Nothobranchius furzeri: one gene and its partner. The protein of the gene in region 1 interacts with the protein of each later gene in a biochemical or structural test. Links are inferred from orthologs where the notes say so. Each region holds a gene or a part of one and is shown on either strand. Other genes may lie near its edges. The genes, in order: cyth2 and arf6b.

Region 1 (8,355 bases):
ACCTGAAGCCCTGCCTCCTCCCTTCTCCTGCTTCAGAAGAAACCTCCAGTCCCTCAAAGGAATGCCTTACCTGACATCGTACAGTACAGCAGTACCTTTGCCCGTTCTTTGTTATGTAAGGAAACTAAATCGTTCTTGAGCTCCGTCCTAATACGAGATCACACCAGATACATGAAAGCAGAACTGTTTCTGTAGTTTTACACTTTTTCTGAGCTCCAGCTGTTATTTTCCTGCACCTGTTTACCAGGTGGAGGAAGTATTTTGATGCAACTGAATCAGCGTGGAGAAGCAAAAACAAACCATTCACGATCGAATGTTAGCCATTACTGACATATTTGCATTCTGCCTGCTTGTTTAGCCAGTGGATGCACGCTGCTGAAGATGTCGGTGATGCTGGTCTTTGCATCTTATTGACCATAAAATAATGCCCGAACAAAGCGAGCTGCTTTCTCTCTGCTACTTTTGTTTGAATGAAAGAGAGTAAATCAGATGTGATTAGCTGCCTTTTAGCCTTTCGGCGTCACGTCCAAACATTAATAAGCCCCAATTGTGTAGAAGGTGGTGCACAAAAACTGACATTAAAGCATCACAGAAAGATGCATACTAATAGATAAGTACTAAAATCAGAGGAATGTTATTAAGAGAGGGTTTGATTGATAAACTGGATGCACTAGCATTGTTTTAGTGAAGAAATAAATTATTGCTTTTATTTATTGCTGTAATTTGAACACAAATGTAGAAAGTTAGAGTTTACAGACAGACATAATACATTTTTAAAAACGACAAGACTAAAATAAGGCAGCGCTGTTTTCTTAGATCGGCTTTAACTAAGATGGAAGACAAACGAACAACTTGCACTGTGATTAATCAGCTGCAAAGCCAGCCCGCTGAACTCACACTGAAGCCTGTTGAGAACAGTAATACTTCCAAAAGTAGCATTCAATCAGATATGATATTTTGGAGGGTGACGTACTGTTTAAACATTAATTTTGTTATCGTCAAACCTGCTGAAACACTCAACCTCCGCTAAATCATTAGCATGTGTAATGTAGGAATCGGTAAAATCACCTGCCAACTGCTTGGATCACCATCAGCATACCGTATTTGTCAAATCGATGCCTTTGTGTAATAAGCCTGTAAATTCCGGCTGCTAATGATGAACTGTTTAAACCCGACCGCAACGAATGGAGTTAAAAAAAAAAAGATTTGTTTCTGCCTTGTTTCCCTTTTTGAGTGCACAATACAACTAATCTACCAACGCTGCTTTGAGCTTACACAGCTACCAATGCTAGTACACTTTGAGGCTAAGCTTGTAATATTACTAAAACAGAAAATGATACATACACTTTGGGCGAAAAGTTGTTGCCAAAATGTTTACTCTTGGTGTTGAAGAGCCTAGTCATGACCGTTTACTTTCCTAGACCAGCGTCGTCAGTGGCCAGAGCCGGGACCATGGTGTTGTAGACCAATTTGCTATGACGGTGTCCAGTTGAAAATGCTATGAATTTGTCTGTAGTAAACTACCTGTAATCAAATGGTAATTATTACTAAATCAATGAAATGTATACAAATGCAGTGTACCAATTATAGTTATCTGTTTGCAAATAAATGTAACTTCATACATTTGTCTTGTGTAAAATCATTTGTCTTTCTAACGTGTCTCTGAAAAAGATTAGAGTATTTTTGCTTTAGATTTTACTTTAAAGGTCTCTTACCTCAATCTTATTTATCTAAGATGAAATATTCACTCCATCTGAAACGTGTACTAACTGCTTTTACTAGGGATGCCCAGATCTGATCGCGTGATTGGAAATTGGTCCTGATCGGTCAGAACTGGACAGTACCTCCCGATCCAGACTCGGGATACATATAATTTATTTATTTTTTTAACAATTTAACACAGACTTGGACCTCTTGACTCCACACTGAAACAGCAACCTGTGCGGCATGACATCTCTTTGTTGGTTAAACGCTGGCAAAGTGGAACATGGAAGTAGAAAAGCGCAAGTATGTAGAAGAAGAAGAAAATATCATTTCTATAGCGCCTCTCGATCAAAATCACGAGGCGCTTCACAAAAACAAAACATGTAAAAATATAAAAAAGCATTTAGAAAATGTTTAAAAATATATTAAAATGAGCAAAAATAGGCAATTGTGATTAAAAAAGTTAAGAAAGAGAGAGAGTAAACAGGAAAGAGGGAAATCGGTGGGTCCTGAGGAAGGTGGAATAGGTGGGGAGAGCAGAATAAAGAGAGAGAGGTGAAGAAGGTCATACAAAAGCCAGCTTGAACAGGTGAGTCTTCAGCTGCTTTTTAAAGGAGACCACTGAGTCCACTGATCTCAGGCTCAGGGGGAGAGAGGTCCAGAGTCTGGGGGCCACAGCAGCAAATGATCTGTCACCTTTGACCTTTAGCCTGGTGCTGCACAACCAGTAGGCTTTGGTCACTGGACCTGAGGGACCTGCTGGGGGTGTAGGGACTAAGAAGATCACCAATGTAAGATGGTGCTTGTCCATGTAAGGCCCTATAGACCAGAACCAGGATCTTGAAATGAACCCTGAAGTTGACTGGCAGCCAGTGAAGCTGGATGTATGCAGTCTTGGGAGGTAAAAAGTTGATGACAACATTAAACTGAAGTCCAAAAGTGAAGAATTTTGGTATTTATTACTTGATTGTTCAAGAAGTGCTCTGTTTGTTACTAGAGGAACATCCTGGATCTGTTTCTTTGCTCGTTTTCATTATTTTTTAAATGTATGATAGAAGTTTTGGATCAGGACTTGGTATCGGTTGATGCTCAAAATTAAATGACTCAGTCTCGAGAGCAAAAGAACCTGATCAGGTCAGCCCTAGTTTGGACATGGATATTTTACCAAACTGACAAATCAAATGCCTGGCTTGGATTGTGTTAAAAGTGCAGTATGTAGGGATACAGTGAGAAAATACCAAAAGTGTGTTGTCATTTTGCAAGGAAAGTTTTACTGGAACATATTTCACATCCAGCTGGCTGTTGGATTGTCAGTTTTTCTCCTTTCAAAACAAAGGAAGGAGTGACGTAACTGCTGTTTACCATCAGTGAGTGTGGGGTCGCCATGTCTCCCGTGAGTTAATATTGCAGTGCCAACTATTATAATTTGATGACGGTCAGCAAAAAGCTCCAGTTGTTTAAAGTGGTTGCAGTAACCACATTTTACCACAGGATATACTTTTTACTTCATTTCTACATAATGCACCTTTAAGACAAACTTAAAATAAACCCTCAGTTCTTCACTTCATTGGTGATTTTGGTTTGGGTTGTAAAAGCAACTAAAAAGTTGGATACAACAGTCTGGACTGAACTTGCATTAGGTTGCTCCTCTGATACAATCAAATGTACTAAAGAGTTTCTATACTATGAATTAGACTCTTCATACCAAAAGGTGATTAGCCAAATTGCAAGATTAATTTTCATTTTGTAGGCCAAATGGGTGTTACTGATACAAAGCAAATTGTCATATTGGGTAATAATGGGCTTTATATACAATCTGAAATATAATTTGAGATCAAGCTGGCACCATATCAGCGATCAACTCAACTATTGCTATTAGCCTAGTCTGGAGCAAAATGCAAAGAACAAACTTCAGTGATGAGTGTTTTAGTGAAACCAAATCAGAGTTTAAAATGAAGTTAAACCAGAATAATAGGAAACCCCCCTGCCTAATCTCCTTTCTTTTAGATTTCTCATGTTAACAGAAAAATCACTGGACCCACACGGAAACTGGAGTATATTTTATACAAAATTGTAATTTATAATTAATGAGGGATAGTAATAAATGGTTAAGTCTTAAACATTCAACTTTGTATTTTTTGTATATTGTGCATTATGCTAAAGTGAATTTTGTTGTTTTATTTTGAAAGTTGACTGACCGGAAGTCGATCGACACCGCTTCCGGTGTCGCCACCTTCTTTGTCTACGGCCCAGGATTTCAACACCAGGGGATGTCAATTTTTTCCTTTTAGTTCTGTGGATATATTTCCTAATATATCCCCAATTTTCTGACATTTAATGACAGTCGACTCTGAACTATTTATGCCTAAAAATAAAGCGCCAAAAATGGATGACCTGGACTACAGTAAGTGGGCTTACTGAGTCGGTCTTTTCGGAACGCCGCCGTAGCTAACTGGCTAGCTGTGTCGCTTTTGGTTGACTTTATATTTGCTCCGTTAGACTAACTTCTCCCGGTGATCATACCAGTCGTCTTTTTTGTTCTCTATAAAAACGTGTGTACGTATTTAGCATGTATGTAGAAATAAGCCGCAACTGCATATTGTTTTTGCTAATTAACTATTGATTCTGTCGGTGTTTGTTCTTGGCTAACTTTACAGCTAACCTCGGTGGACATGATTTACGCATCAAACTGCATATAAAGGTCTTATAAGCGATTAATTATAACATAAAAGCCTCTAAAGTCTCGTAAGTAATAAACATTTAGGTATGTAGAAAAATGTATGCTTTGGGTGTGGCATTTTATTGTTTTGGGGGGTTACAATGGTTTGGGGATTTTAAAAATATCCACCAAGAGCTTACATTTTCTACGTGGTTTGAATTGATTAGTTTAAAGGCGAAATGTTAACAGAAAATTAACTACCCGTTTCTAGCATCACTACAATGTTTAGTTGAGAGAGTTGCTGTTGGTTTCTGCTGTAATATTGTTGGTCCAGTTGAAAGCTGCAGGTGGTGGTGCTGTTGAATTTCATTGAATTGCACTTCCAAATGTCTTCAATGGACATCAGGCTGTGTCATTAAATCACACCCACCTTCAGCAGGACAAAAATAATTCTAGTTGTTTAATGACAAAATACACATTGTAAGGTGTTGGTGCTTTCAAATATAAAATTATTGGGAAATTTACCAACTTGCACCAGTTTTACTTCAAATGAAAACCACGCAGCTAGCAAGGAAATGCTGAGTTCTTTCAGGCTTTTCATGTGCAATTCATAATTTTAGTATTTTTAATTAGTTTTAATAAAACAAACATTTTCTCCCACTAGTGGAGATTGCTTTTGACCTAGATTCTTTGGGCACAGCTAACGTTTTGTTGGTTCTGCAGCACCAATGCTGTCATTCTCTTGTCTTCCCCTGCAGTCCCAGTAGACCTGAGCCCAGAGGAGCGCTCTGAGCTGGAGGACATTCGTAGGAGGAAGGGCGTCCTGCTGCAGGAGATCCAGAGGCTCAGGGAGGAGTTGAGGGAGGCTATTTTAGAAGTGGAGGGACTAGAGAGCAGCACAGAGGGCAGGTAAAGAAATTCTTATTTACTATAAATCAAAGAAATAGCATTGCAGCTTTTGACCTAAATCAACACAATATGCACAGATTTTTAAACTTGTGTGTTAGTTTTTCATGTTTCTATTAGTATTTATTGTGTTTTTGTTTCCAATAACTTGTTGGTGTCTTAAAAGAAGTATGCGGTTTAATTGAGTTAACTTGTGTTGTTTCTGCAGTAAAACTCTTCAAAAAAGTCGGCACGTAGCGATGGGAAGGAAGAAATTCAACATGGACCCTAAAAAGGTAACACTGTCCTTTAGATTTGCTGATTTTGATATTTTTCTGGGATTGCTCTTTTCATTTATGGACTATTTCTGCAGGGTATTACGTTTTTGGTAGAGAATGAGCTGCTCAGACACACACCAGAAGACATCGCTCAGTTCTTGTACAAAGGAGAAGGCCTCAACAAGACTGCCATAGGAGACTACCTGGGAGAGAGGTGGGAGGTGTTGAAGTGTCTTTTGTTCCTGTCGTCTCTTTCATGCAGCCGTTTGTAACTGTGGTCTGTTTTGCTGCAGAGATGACTTCAACATCAAAGTGCTTCAAGCTTTTGTCGACCTCCACGAGTTCACAGATCTCAACCTCGTCCAGGCTCTCAGGTGAACTGCATCCACTTCTGTTGGTTCTGCATTATATGAAGCTATTAACATGTAATCGGGGATTCTCTAGTGGACAAACATGCCCAACAATGGAACCCCCCCCCCCCTTCTCTCAGATTGGGTTGGAACAACATTATGCAACAAGTCAAAACTGACTATGTAACTCTGCCTTAGTGGCTGAATTTGATCTCTTAGGCTTGACCCGAACCCTGTCCTGTTTTCTACAGACAGTTCCTGTGGAGCTTCCGTTTGCCTGGTGAAGCACAGAAAATCGACAGAATGATGGAGGCCTTTGCTCAGAGATATTGTCACTGCAACCCCGGCGTCTTCCAGAGCACCGGTAATCACAAAACAAACCGTTTTTCTCGTAGGGCTAGTAGTAATGCCATTTTTAACCAGCATGAATCTTATTTTAAAATATTTTTTGCACCTTTAGATGTGTTTTGTTTTGAGCTGGCCCTTTTACACCACATTTCTGCCTTACGGTGCTCTTTTCTTATTTATTTTTTATGAGTTCTGTGTTTGTTCAAGCGAAGCCAAAGTGACTAAAGGTATTTTTGCCAAAGGTCGGCCCTCACATAATCTGCCCCTGACCAGAAAGCATTCCCTCTTAACATTTATACACACCTTTCATTAAAGGCAGTTAGTGTTGTTTTTCATTGTTTCCGTCAATTGTTCTGTAATGTTTTACATGTAGTCAGGTTTCCCTTTGCTTCAGGCACAATAAGCTCAGCAGGATTAACACGTTGCAACATAAGTCCACATATCTGTACTGCAGGCTGGGATGATGGAAGAGAAATTGTTCAGCCAGTTCCAAACATCCACTTAGAGCAGAAAATATGCAAACATAACCCATGCTCTGCTGTAAAGTGTGTTTCTGTTGACTCTCTTAGTTCTTCTCTTTCCTCTCCTGTTTGCAGACACGTGTTATGTGCTTTCGTTTGCTATAATAATGTTGAACACAAGCCTCCATAACCCAAATGTGAGGGACAAACCTGGACTGGACCGTTTCATCTCAATGAACCGAGGCATCAATGAGGGGGGGGACCTGCCCGAGGAGCTGCTCAGAGTACGAGTCACTGGATGCCCCGTTAGAATATTTATGAGCTTGTTTATTTATTTGTTTATTTGTCTTGTTTGGTTTTCCAGAATCTGTATGAAAGCATTAAAAACGAGCCCTTTAAGATCCCAGAGGACGACGGGAACGACCTGACGCACACGTTCTTCAACCCAGACAGGGAGGGCTGGCTTCTCAAACTCGGTATTTTGACCCTGATCTCGTGTAATCTGTAGCTGAGGAGCTCGGTGTGTGATGCCGGTATCAGGACAAAGTGTTACATTCTGTACTTTCACCTCTCTGTGTTGTGATGACCTTGTCCTCCTGTCTCTGAGGCTCGTCGCCTCTTTGTCTCCACCTGAATCATCGCCTCACACCGTGGCAGTGTTTAAACATCTCCATGGTGTGTTGGTGAAAGACGCGCTCACTCCTGTGTGCCGTGGCAGTTTGGACATCTGTTTGTTTTCTTTTTGCATGACGGCGACCTGTGATCAACGTGTCACTAATACGATCTCCGTCCCCTCTTCTACCTCCCTTCTAAATCCTCCGGTTTCTTTTTGTCTCTGCTTCTTCCCTGAAATTTCCACCCTCTACTGCCGCTGCTTGTTTTCTCAGGAGGTATGTACTGAAGAGCGTCCAAAAAGTTGTAGAAGTATTAGTAGGTCGTAGTTAGAATACAGAATTCGTAGCTTGGTAGAGTAAAAGTTCAAATCCTTTTTTTTTTCTTTTAACTTCCATCTCTTATTGTCCTGTTGTGACTTTTTCCCAGGAGGACGAGTGAAAACCTGGAAACGTCGATGGTTCATTCTTACCGATAATTGCCTTTATTACTTTGAATACACCACAGTAAGTATTTAATGCAACAACCATAAGAAGTATTTTATTATGTTTAGAATTTAAACTGAGTAGTTGTTTCAGATTAGCCTGGCAAGCCATCCTATATATGTAAATATGTAGTCCGACCCATTGAAACAACCCGGTCGTGGGGCAGAATCGAAGGTTGTCTTTCTAACAGTCTGCGCACGTAATCGGATAGCGCCAGGACCAATCAGCAACAAATAATGTGACGTGTTATTTGCTATGTACATCAGTCAACGGGGCAGTCTGACACACACCTCTGTCTGCTCATGATTCCCAAGAAAAGCCCAAGTCTAAATCATCCACAGGGTATCCGCGGGTCCTTAAAAAGTCTTAAAAAGTCTTAAATTTGCTTTTCCAAATTTAAGGCCTTAAAAATCCTTAAAAATGACAAACAATCCTTAAATACAGTTTCCAACGGTCTTAAATGTCCAAAGACCCAATAAACAAGATTATTTTCTTTCCATAAAATTTTTATAAATTTCTAGTTAGTGTTCAGCAATTTTTGTGTATAATGTTGGCGTAAGCGGAACCGTACAC
Region 2 (8,151 bases), on another chromosome or scaffold:
TTTGTCTCAGCAGCACAACAATATCAGCCTCCTACTGACCCCTAGAGGTCAATCTAAGGTATTACATCGTTAAACATGTATTTTAAATCAGGACTCTTACCTGCACGACACATCCAGATATTTGTTTTTTTATGAATATGTGATCAACCTACAATCATTTCCTAAAAAAGTGGTTTGTTTATTTATATGCAACTGTACAAGTCTCTGTGGCAAATGTAATGAGGTGGTGGAGTAATATGCACACTCCAAAACCAGAGTACCTTCCTTTTAACGCGTGATGATGCAGATGAGCAGCGTTTGAGGGATCTATAACACCTAATTTATGTATTTTTGCACCTAATCAGAAAGACTTTGCAGCTATATTTTAAAGTAGTACACCTTAAACAGATGTTTGCAGGTCTTTCAGGTTACATTTACATATTTTCTGCAATAATTTTTAGACATTTTTGGAGTGAGATATCTGTGCATTAATGTGCGTCTAGAAAAGTATTCCTGTAGGGAGAAATGTTGTTTTACTATTTGTGAGGAAGAGCTCCATTTAGACGTACGAAATAAATAAGTTTAACCACTCCTAATTTCATGATACGCTACAATAAATTAACTATTTTCTTGATTCTTGGATAATCCAACACTTTACAGATCATTGTGAGCTGGTTAAATCTTACAGGACCTTTGAATGTTATTTTGTATCCCCGGGTGTTGTGTAATTCCACAGGTCAACATCTGGTTATTCAATGAAGGATGACGTTTCACCTATAAGGAGATTTAGTCTCATCCCCTTCCGATCGGCTCACGGGTCCCGACTGTAAAAAACAATAATAATGTAGGCGAACGGCGCGGAGCTATAAAGGTTATTTTGTGGCCTTATGCCCTGAATCACACATATGTTGTACTTCAATTTAAATGATAAATAAGTATTCAGACTATGTCTGTCCCATAATTTGAGGTTTGCTTGCTTGTAAAAAATACTTAATTTAAACTACAAATCAGACGTCACATGTATGACATCACAGCAGAATCTTTTCTCCCCCGGTGCAGCTGGTACTGTCCACATGGCCAGATTTAAAGTGGTTTTCTCCATGTTTAATGTCCCTCCTTTCATTCTGGAAGAAGGATGTGAAGCTCGCTAAACTCACTGACATTTTTCTTCTTGTCTGATTTGATGATGTATTGTTTGAGACAATTATTAAGAGTTCTTTACGTGTTTTCACACAAAAACCTAAAGTTACTTTTGCCACCAGAACATGTATTTGAAAGTCACACGTCACATACCAAACGGATCAGAAAATAACTCAACTATTATCGAGCCATAGACTCCCATTCATTTTGGGGGGATTTTGGCATACCAATTGACCGGAAGTAGATGGACTCTCTCCATACAAGGAGCAACTTTTTATTTTGTTTGCATTAATTTTGTTTGCCCTATGTGTAGCAATTTGTGATGCATACTAATGCATGAAATCTTATTTATGAATAGAGTTTTATTCAATAAATATTAAATTATTTCTGCTCAGAGTTACACTATTATTTTATTTTTTAACGTGCTCCTGCGTGCTACACCATGGCGCACCAACCCTGTTATGACCAGTTGCGTTAAGCTGATCCGCAAGCTATTTTTACGTGACTGTCACGCAAAACTTAATCCAAGCCTCGTGTTGTTGAGAGGAGACATGTTCTGAACAAGCACCTGAACGCAACACCGGACGCTTCCTGAACGCCCCAGGGTCTAGTGCACTAAAATAGCACCGTTAGCTGAACATACCGTTATCGTGCAGCGTCATCCCGATGGTTCCCCCGGTGTTGATGACCAGCACTCGGGACTCGTCGGCGTAAGGTGAAGTCAGTAGCTCACCGTTCTCGACGGAGCTGCACTTTGACAGCCTTCTCATTCGGCTCGGGTGTCTCTGGAGGGTGGCTGTCGGAGAAATATCATTAAACTCGATCTGCTGAAGGGAAGTTTGAGACAGAGCTCGGCCCAGGGAGCTCGGGGAGTCGCAGTTGGAGTCCGCCATGGTGCCTTGAAGAGGTGTTTGTTCCTTGAAGGGATGAGAATACGGTGGTCTGGATGAGCTCTCAGCGCCCTGCCTCATACAATGTCTCCCCGTTTATACACAAAGCAGCTTGCGTGGGTTGAGGCTTTCACCAGAAGTGTGACTATTAATGTTGTCATATTTTAATTTCTAGCTCTTCCCCTGAAACCATCGCCTGAAACACGCGCATCCTAATCACCTCAAGTTTTGCCCTTAAAATTTTTGAAGGAGACACGTTTTCTCTGACGTCACCAAATGAAGGCGTGGCTCGGTGCTGGAGTTCAAGTGTAGCAAGCCATTCTAACATTTATCCAAGACAAAATTCCTGATAGTCCAAGCTTTCTTGTGTTCTGTAAACTTATTTTAGGGATTTTACAATTAAAATTGTTACAAAATAATTTTCAGATGAAAAAAATCGCAAATGTATAAATGGCTTTTTAAACTTTCAATTGTAAAATTGGTTAATACTTCCAGATAATTTGAATCAATGTTTCCTGGTCTAAGTGAAAAATGTGCATACATCAAAAATGTTTCATGTGGGTAAGGTTTTCAGCTGTATAGGACAACAAGTGCGTCTTTCCCATTTTTTGTCAAAGGAATCCATGTCTGAATTAGTGTTTTTTTTATTCTTGTGATAATTCGTTTTTTTTATTAGAATAAAAAAAATTATTTTGCTTATTCAAGATTATTTTTCGTGTTGTGTTTTGGAGTTCAATCTGTAGATAATACACATCTGTTCCATTTGATTTAAAGGTGTTTATAAAAACCTCAGTAGATTATTACAAAACCAGGTTCAGTCCAAGAGCCAACACCATCTTTGTAAATTTTCTTTGTCACAGCTCTGGCGCTAAGCCCGCACAACAAACATAGAGTGTTGTGATTGACAAGATACAAAAGTGTTCGGGCCAGTGGTAGACCTGCTGAGGCTACAATGGAGTGTTTCTATACTAACCTGGAATCAAATTATTTTTGCTGCTTCTTTGGTTGGTCTAGATTTTGAGGTTAAGAGAACTGAGCTGTGGGAATGAAGGTAATGACAAACTTTGTCCTAAGAATATGTTCATTTTGAGTAATATTGTTATTGCAATCAAAAATGTGAATTAGACGAGGAAGAAATAACTAGTTGTCTAGTTGTCTTACCATACATGAAGTTTTCCATGAAGATATAACTTTTCCAAATTAAAACATTTAGCAATAGAAAACAAATTGTCTACCATTTTTCTACCATCTAATAAATTCTTTACATTTATTTTTAATACAGTTTGAATTAGACAATAAAGGGCAAATAAAAAAATACGTATATTTGTAAATATCTGAAATGTAAGTTGATTTAATTATAGCCTCACAATTGTTGCTCTTGGTTTAATTTGCTCGAGAGCTAATGAATATAATACAAACGACCTAAGATGGCATCCAACATCTATTGACTGTGAATTCGTGGAAAACATTTTTTTAATTACTGAACTAGAATAAATTACGTTTTGGTTCCTGTCTAACCAATAAATGTTTAACGAAAGCCAAAGCAAAGAAAATAATTGATTGCTATATAACATTTTCCCACTCGCAGTTGAGAATTTATTTATTTGTTTATTTGTTTGTTTTGCTGACAGGTGAAGATGAAAGCAAGTTAAAATGTGTGCAGTTTGATTATGTTATACAACGGCCTGCCAAAAGACGGAACCAGTTTAATGGAGCAGACGAGAGGAAGTGGCTGTTGATGCAGTTCCACACCTTTCCGGTGTAGCAGGAGTGCGGCCAGCTCCAGTTAAAGAAGGAAGACAAGAGCTGAGTAAATTTATCGAGTCTGGAGGGAAATAAACGGGTAAATACCGTACCTTTGCACAAACCAGTATGAAATATGCAACTGTATACTGGGCAATGTGTCACCGATGCGTGTTTTGATGTTTTCATTTCAGTAGTTTACTGCAGCTAACTGGCTATCGCTAGTTAGCTTAGCTAATGCTAGCTGACTAACAGCCACGAGCGATAGCTGGCTAATTTTTCATGTCTGACCCTCCCCCTAAATCTCTTTTCAGTGCGACCAGAGTTTCCTGAGTGGGCCTTTTCTAACCGAGTCACTGGGATTTGTTTCTACCGTAATCGTCCCTTTGAGCGCGGTGTGACCGCCCGTCGCGACCTCCTTTGAAGAAGCCGCATATAGCGGCAGTTTCTCCCCAGGCAGCAGTGTACTGAACAAGGGCGCACCCGGTGAGGAGAACCGCCTCATACAACTAACACCAGGAGAAAATCACCTTCAGCATCGCGGCTTTTTTGGAGGGCCTCTTAACACACGCTGAATATCTCTGTCCCACGGCCAGTGTTTGTCCCAAATAACTTTATTTTTGTTTAGTTTTAAAGACAATGACTAGCCTGCAACTGCTGCTGCCAAGTTCCTAGTCCCACTGTGTCATGCTGTTTGTAGGCTCACGCAGAGGTTTGATCATCTGAACTTTAATGTTTTTGCGCTCAAAAGGATCCTGACAGGCTTCCCGGAAAACTATAGTAATCCTTTTTAGGTTTGAATATGTGTTTTTGATTTTTGGCCCAAATATCCCTTTTTTTTTATTCACGCTTTCACCAATACTGAAATCAAACACCTACAAATACATTATCAGACTTTTTTTTTCCCCTTTGGAACAAAATATTTATGCCCAAGAGTTCAAAATGGGGAAAATGCTCTCAAAGATCTTTGGCAACAAGGAGATGAGAATATTGATGCTTGGACTGGATGCTGCTGGGAAAACAACAATCCTTTACAAACTGAAACTGGGACAGTCTGTGACCACAATCCCTACAGTTGGCTTCAATGTGGAAACAGTCACTTACAAAAACGTCAAGTTCAATGTCTGGGATGTCGGAGGCCAGGACAAGATCCGTCCGCTGTGGCGACACTACTACACAGGCACCCAGGGCTTAATTTTTGTAGTGGATTGCGCAGACAGGGATCGCATAGACGAAGCGAGACAAGAACTTCACCGCATCATTAACGACCGGGAGATGAGAGATGCCATCATCTTGATATTTGCCAATAAGCAAGACCTTCCAGACGCCATGAAGCCACATGAAATCCAAGAGAAGCTGGGTTTGACCCGCATCAGAGATCGGAATTGGTACGTTCAGCCCTCCTGTGCAACCACGGGCGATGGACTGTATGAGGGGCTGACGTGGCTAACCTCAAATTACAAATCTTAATGAGTGCTGACTGTTTTAGGTCAAAGCATCCAAAAAAAGTAACAATTTCTCAAAAAATGTGTACGGTTAAGAAAAATTGATAATCTTCATTTATTTTGTTTATCCCTTGACTAATTTATCTTTAGCTGGGTTTGCTGGCTTAAAGTTTGCTTGTGTTCTGCAGCAGGCCTGAATTACAGTTATTAATGGGGCTTGCTTGAATATTGAAACAATTGGTCCTAAGGTTTAAAGCTATAGAGATCACCACATTTGCCTATTTTCTTCCTGTTTTATATAGTTTATATTATTCTAAGTTTTTAATCTTCATTTTCTGAAGCTGTTATGTCTTTGTTCAAGTCGGATCACTTATTTTTCTTCAACAGTCAGCGCTTTAATGTCGTGTAGCCTACTCGAAGGACTTGGGAAGTTTTGTTAACAGTACTGTGGCAAAAAACAGGAGGGGGTGAAATCTGGAGAGAAAAAAACGACTTTTCAGTCATTAGTCATCAAAGAAAAAACACGTTTTGTTACCCCCTCTGAACTTTTTAAGTGGGCTATCCAGTTAACTGATTGACCATTTTGTGTCATGTCTTGATATCTAATTGTGCTGAGTATTAAACAAATAGGCCACCAGTAACAGAAACATGCTTGTGGAAGTGCATTTTTTAAATGAGGGTAGTTGGCTCAATCTTTCCAAAGGAATGTCATTCAGCTCTGAAATCGCAACCTGATCTCACGGTTGGTTAGTCTCAGTGATTGGGACATTATATGATAGCCTATATCTGTAGCATGAGTACATCAAGTACATTAACCCTACCTACATCAGAGTCCATCTGTCGGTGCAGTCAGGGAGAGCCGTTATCTGGTGAGGTCGACACTCTGGGGTGCAGCGCTTACTCCTGTTTTGACTGGGGAACTGTACACAGAACAATGTCATTGTAATGTATTATTAAAAAAACAATTTTAAATAATTAATGTCTGTTTTATTGTATTTCATCAGGAATTAAAGATGAATCCACTTTAGCTTGTAGCTGATAAATCAGTTTTTAGTCAACTTTTGAGTCTAAAAGCTGGCCTCAGCTCCTTTTGCCAGTGGACGGGGAAAATGTCCCAAACAGGAAGTCCAGCCTCGGCCTTGTCTTGGAGCAAAGCCACATGTCGACTGAAAGGGCAGCGCTGAAAAACAGCTGATGGGGACTGGATTTGAATGCTGCATGTTGGTTTTGAGCCATATCGATGCTAGCAGGAAGTTGTGACGTCCTGAACTTATCTCTCTGAATCCGCTTCAATTCATTAAGATAAGATAATACCTTTTATTTGTGCCTCAATGGGGAAATTGTGTTATTGCAACAGCTCAAGTACAGTAGAATAGCAGCAGTAGCACACGAAAGATAACACACGAGTAGAATTATACGTTAGGATAAGTACTGCACACCGATAGAGGACTTGGAGCTTTCAGGTCTATAAAACTCCGAAGGTTTTGGTCAGACTGATTAGGTGACAAAACCACAATAACTCAGCTTCTGTGGGAAATATTTACAGCAAATAAACTTTAAACAGTCACGTCCCATTAATAAAACAAGTGTGCTGTGGCAAAGGGAGCTCTTGTTTTCAATCTTCATTAAAACAACACAACTTTATTAGCAACAAGGAAGGAGACAGAGATGAGATCCCTCAGGAAATGTTTGGGAATGGGGTTTCAGGAAGCTCAGAAATAGACCCATCCATCTCGTTTGGTAGTAAAAGAGGCTAAACTGTTGATGAACTCTTACTTTTGTTTGTGCAAGTGTGTACGGATATTGTCTTCCTGTTCCCATGACAACAGACCTATCTGCAGTGTGGCTGGTTTCAAAACAGAGGCTGACCTGGAAGTTGCTTAATTCTACATGAAATCAGGAAGAGGGGTTGGTAATCGAACCCCCCCCCCCCCCTCCCTAATATCGTCATCGCAGTATCAATCACTGTCATTGCCTATCGCAGGTTTTCCTAATGTGATGCAGTCCTATTTTATGGTGACCACTGGCAGACCTTCAGAAAACAGCGACTCATTAAGGAGGCTGTGTTCCGCTCTTACCAAACCTAACTTGAACTGTCATCATGCTTCTCAGGGGTGTGGTTTGTCTGACTCATTTGTCTCTGTTTCCTCTGAGCTCCTTCTGCAAACTTCTGCAGGTTTCTATTATTACACTGAACCGACTGGGGTTGCCGGCTTAATTCTGGCCTACGCTTCAGCCGCCGCACCCTTACAGGTCATCACTGCAGAATTCGCCAAACCCAGACATTTTTACTCTACAAAGCCCAACACTATTATTACGGTAGTTTATTTATCTGGTGATTTTGCTGGAAGGAACGCCTACTTTACACTTCATTTGTTACCTTTTGGTCCAATGACTGCTTATCCTCAGGGGCACTAAATGACCTGTTGGGTTGTGAAATTGCTCCCTCCCTGTCAACTCGGTCATTCCTCTGCAGCCTCCTCAAGCGCATTAGTCCTGAACTCGTGGAGAGCTGAGTTTAAAACAGGTGCGGAAGTGGATAAAGCCGTGTTTGGTTTCCTGTTTGAGGTCATGGGTGTTGAGCGTCGTGATAAGTATCGCCATGATGCGTCTTTGTTTTTCTCTGCCATGACCCAAGCTTATTTTGACTTCAGGTGTTTCAGTGCAGGGTTTATACAAACTGCTGTGGTAGGCAAGCCACATAAGATCGAAAATGTGCAGCCCTGGAGTCCAAGGTACTCTGGGCAGTGGTCCAAAACACATTCCAGTCATATCTCCAGCTGAAGGCTTGCTGTGGTGAAATTGCTAATCCAGGGAAACCGTAAAGTTATCATGAAGAGCTGTGCATCTACCTGACACGCTTAACTTCAACAAGTTCAACCATAAACAATTAAAATATCCAGTTTTTTAGTTACAATTCATCATGTGGGAATGCCCACACCGACCTTCGTGGG

Evidence for each region.
Region 2: the proteins of cyth2 (region 1) and arf6b form a complex in vitro, tested with the Homo sapiens proteins (3 studies listed by BioGRID and IntAct, with this or other methods). The link is inferred for Nothobranchius furzeri from reciprocal best matches to the Homo sapiens genes CYTH2 and ARF6.

Annotation. Positions count from the first base shown.
Region 1 is NC_091745.1:76,530,256-76,538,610, forward strand, and holds the start of cyth2 (cytohesin-2), read left to right. Parts: upstream 1-3,907; 5' UTR 3,908-4,041; coding exon 4,042-4,108; intron 4,109-5,121; coding exon 5,122-5,272; intron 5,273-5,477; coding exon 5,478-5,544; intron 5,545-5,621; coding exon 5,622-5,740; intron 5,741-5,819; coding exon 5,820-5,900; intron 5,901-6,127; coding exon 6,128-6,240; intron 6,241-6,820; coding exon 6,821-6,969; intron 6,970-7,049; coding exon 7,050-7,161; intron 7,162-7,726; coding exon 7,727-7,803; intron 7,804-8,355. UniProt on the Homo sapiens protein: Acts as a guanine-nucleotide exchange factor (GEF). Promotes guanine-nucleotide exchange on ARF1, ARF3 and ARF6. Activates ARF factors through replacement of GDP with GTP.
Region 2 is NC_091758.1:32,004,863-32,013,013, forward strand, and holds arf6b (ADP-ribosylation factor 6b), read left to right. Parts: upstream 1-3,730; 5' UTR 3,731-3,852; intron 3,853-4,066; 5' UTR 4,067-4,694; coding exon 4,695-5,222; 3' UTR 5,223-5,844; downstream 5,845-8,151. Other genes in the region: aspg (60 kDa lysophospholipase), read right to left, coding at 1,763-2,090. UniProt on the Homo sapiens protein: GTP-binding protein involved in protein trafficking that regulates endocytic recycling and cytoskeleton remodeling. GTP-bound form plays an important role in the transport of multiple palmitoylated proteins form the Golgi to the plasma membrane.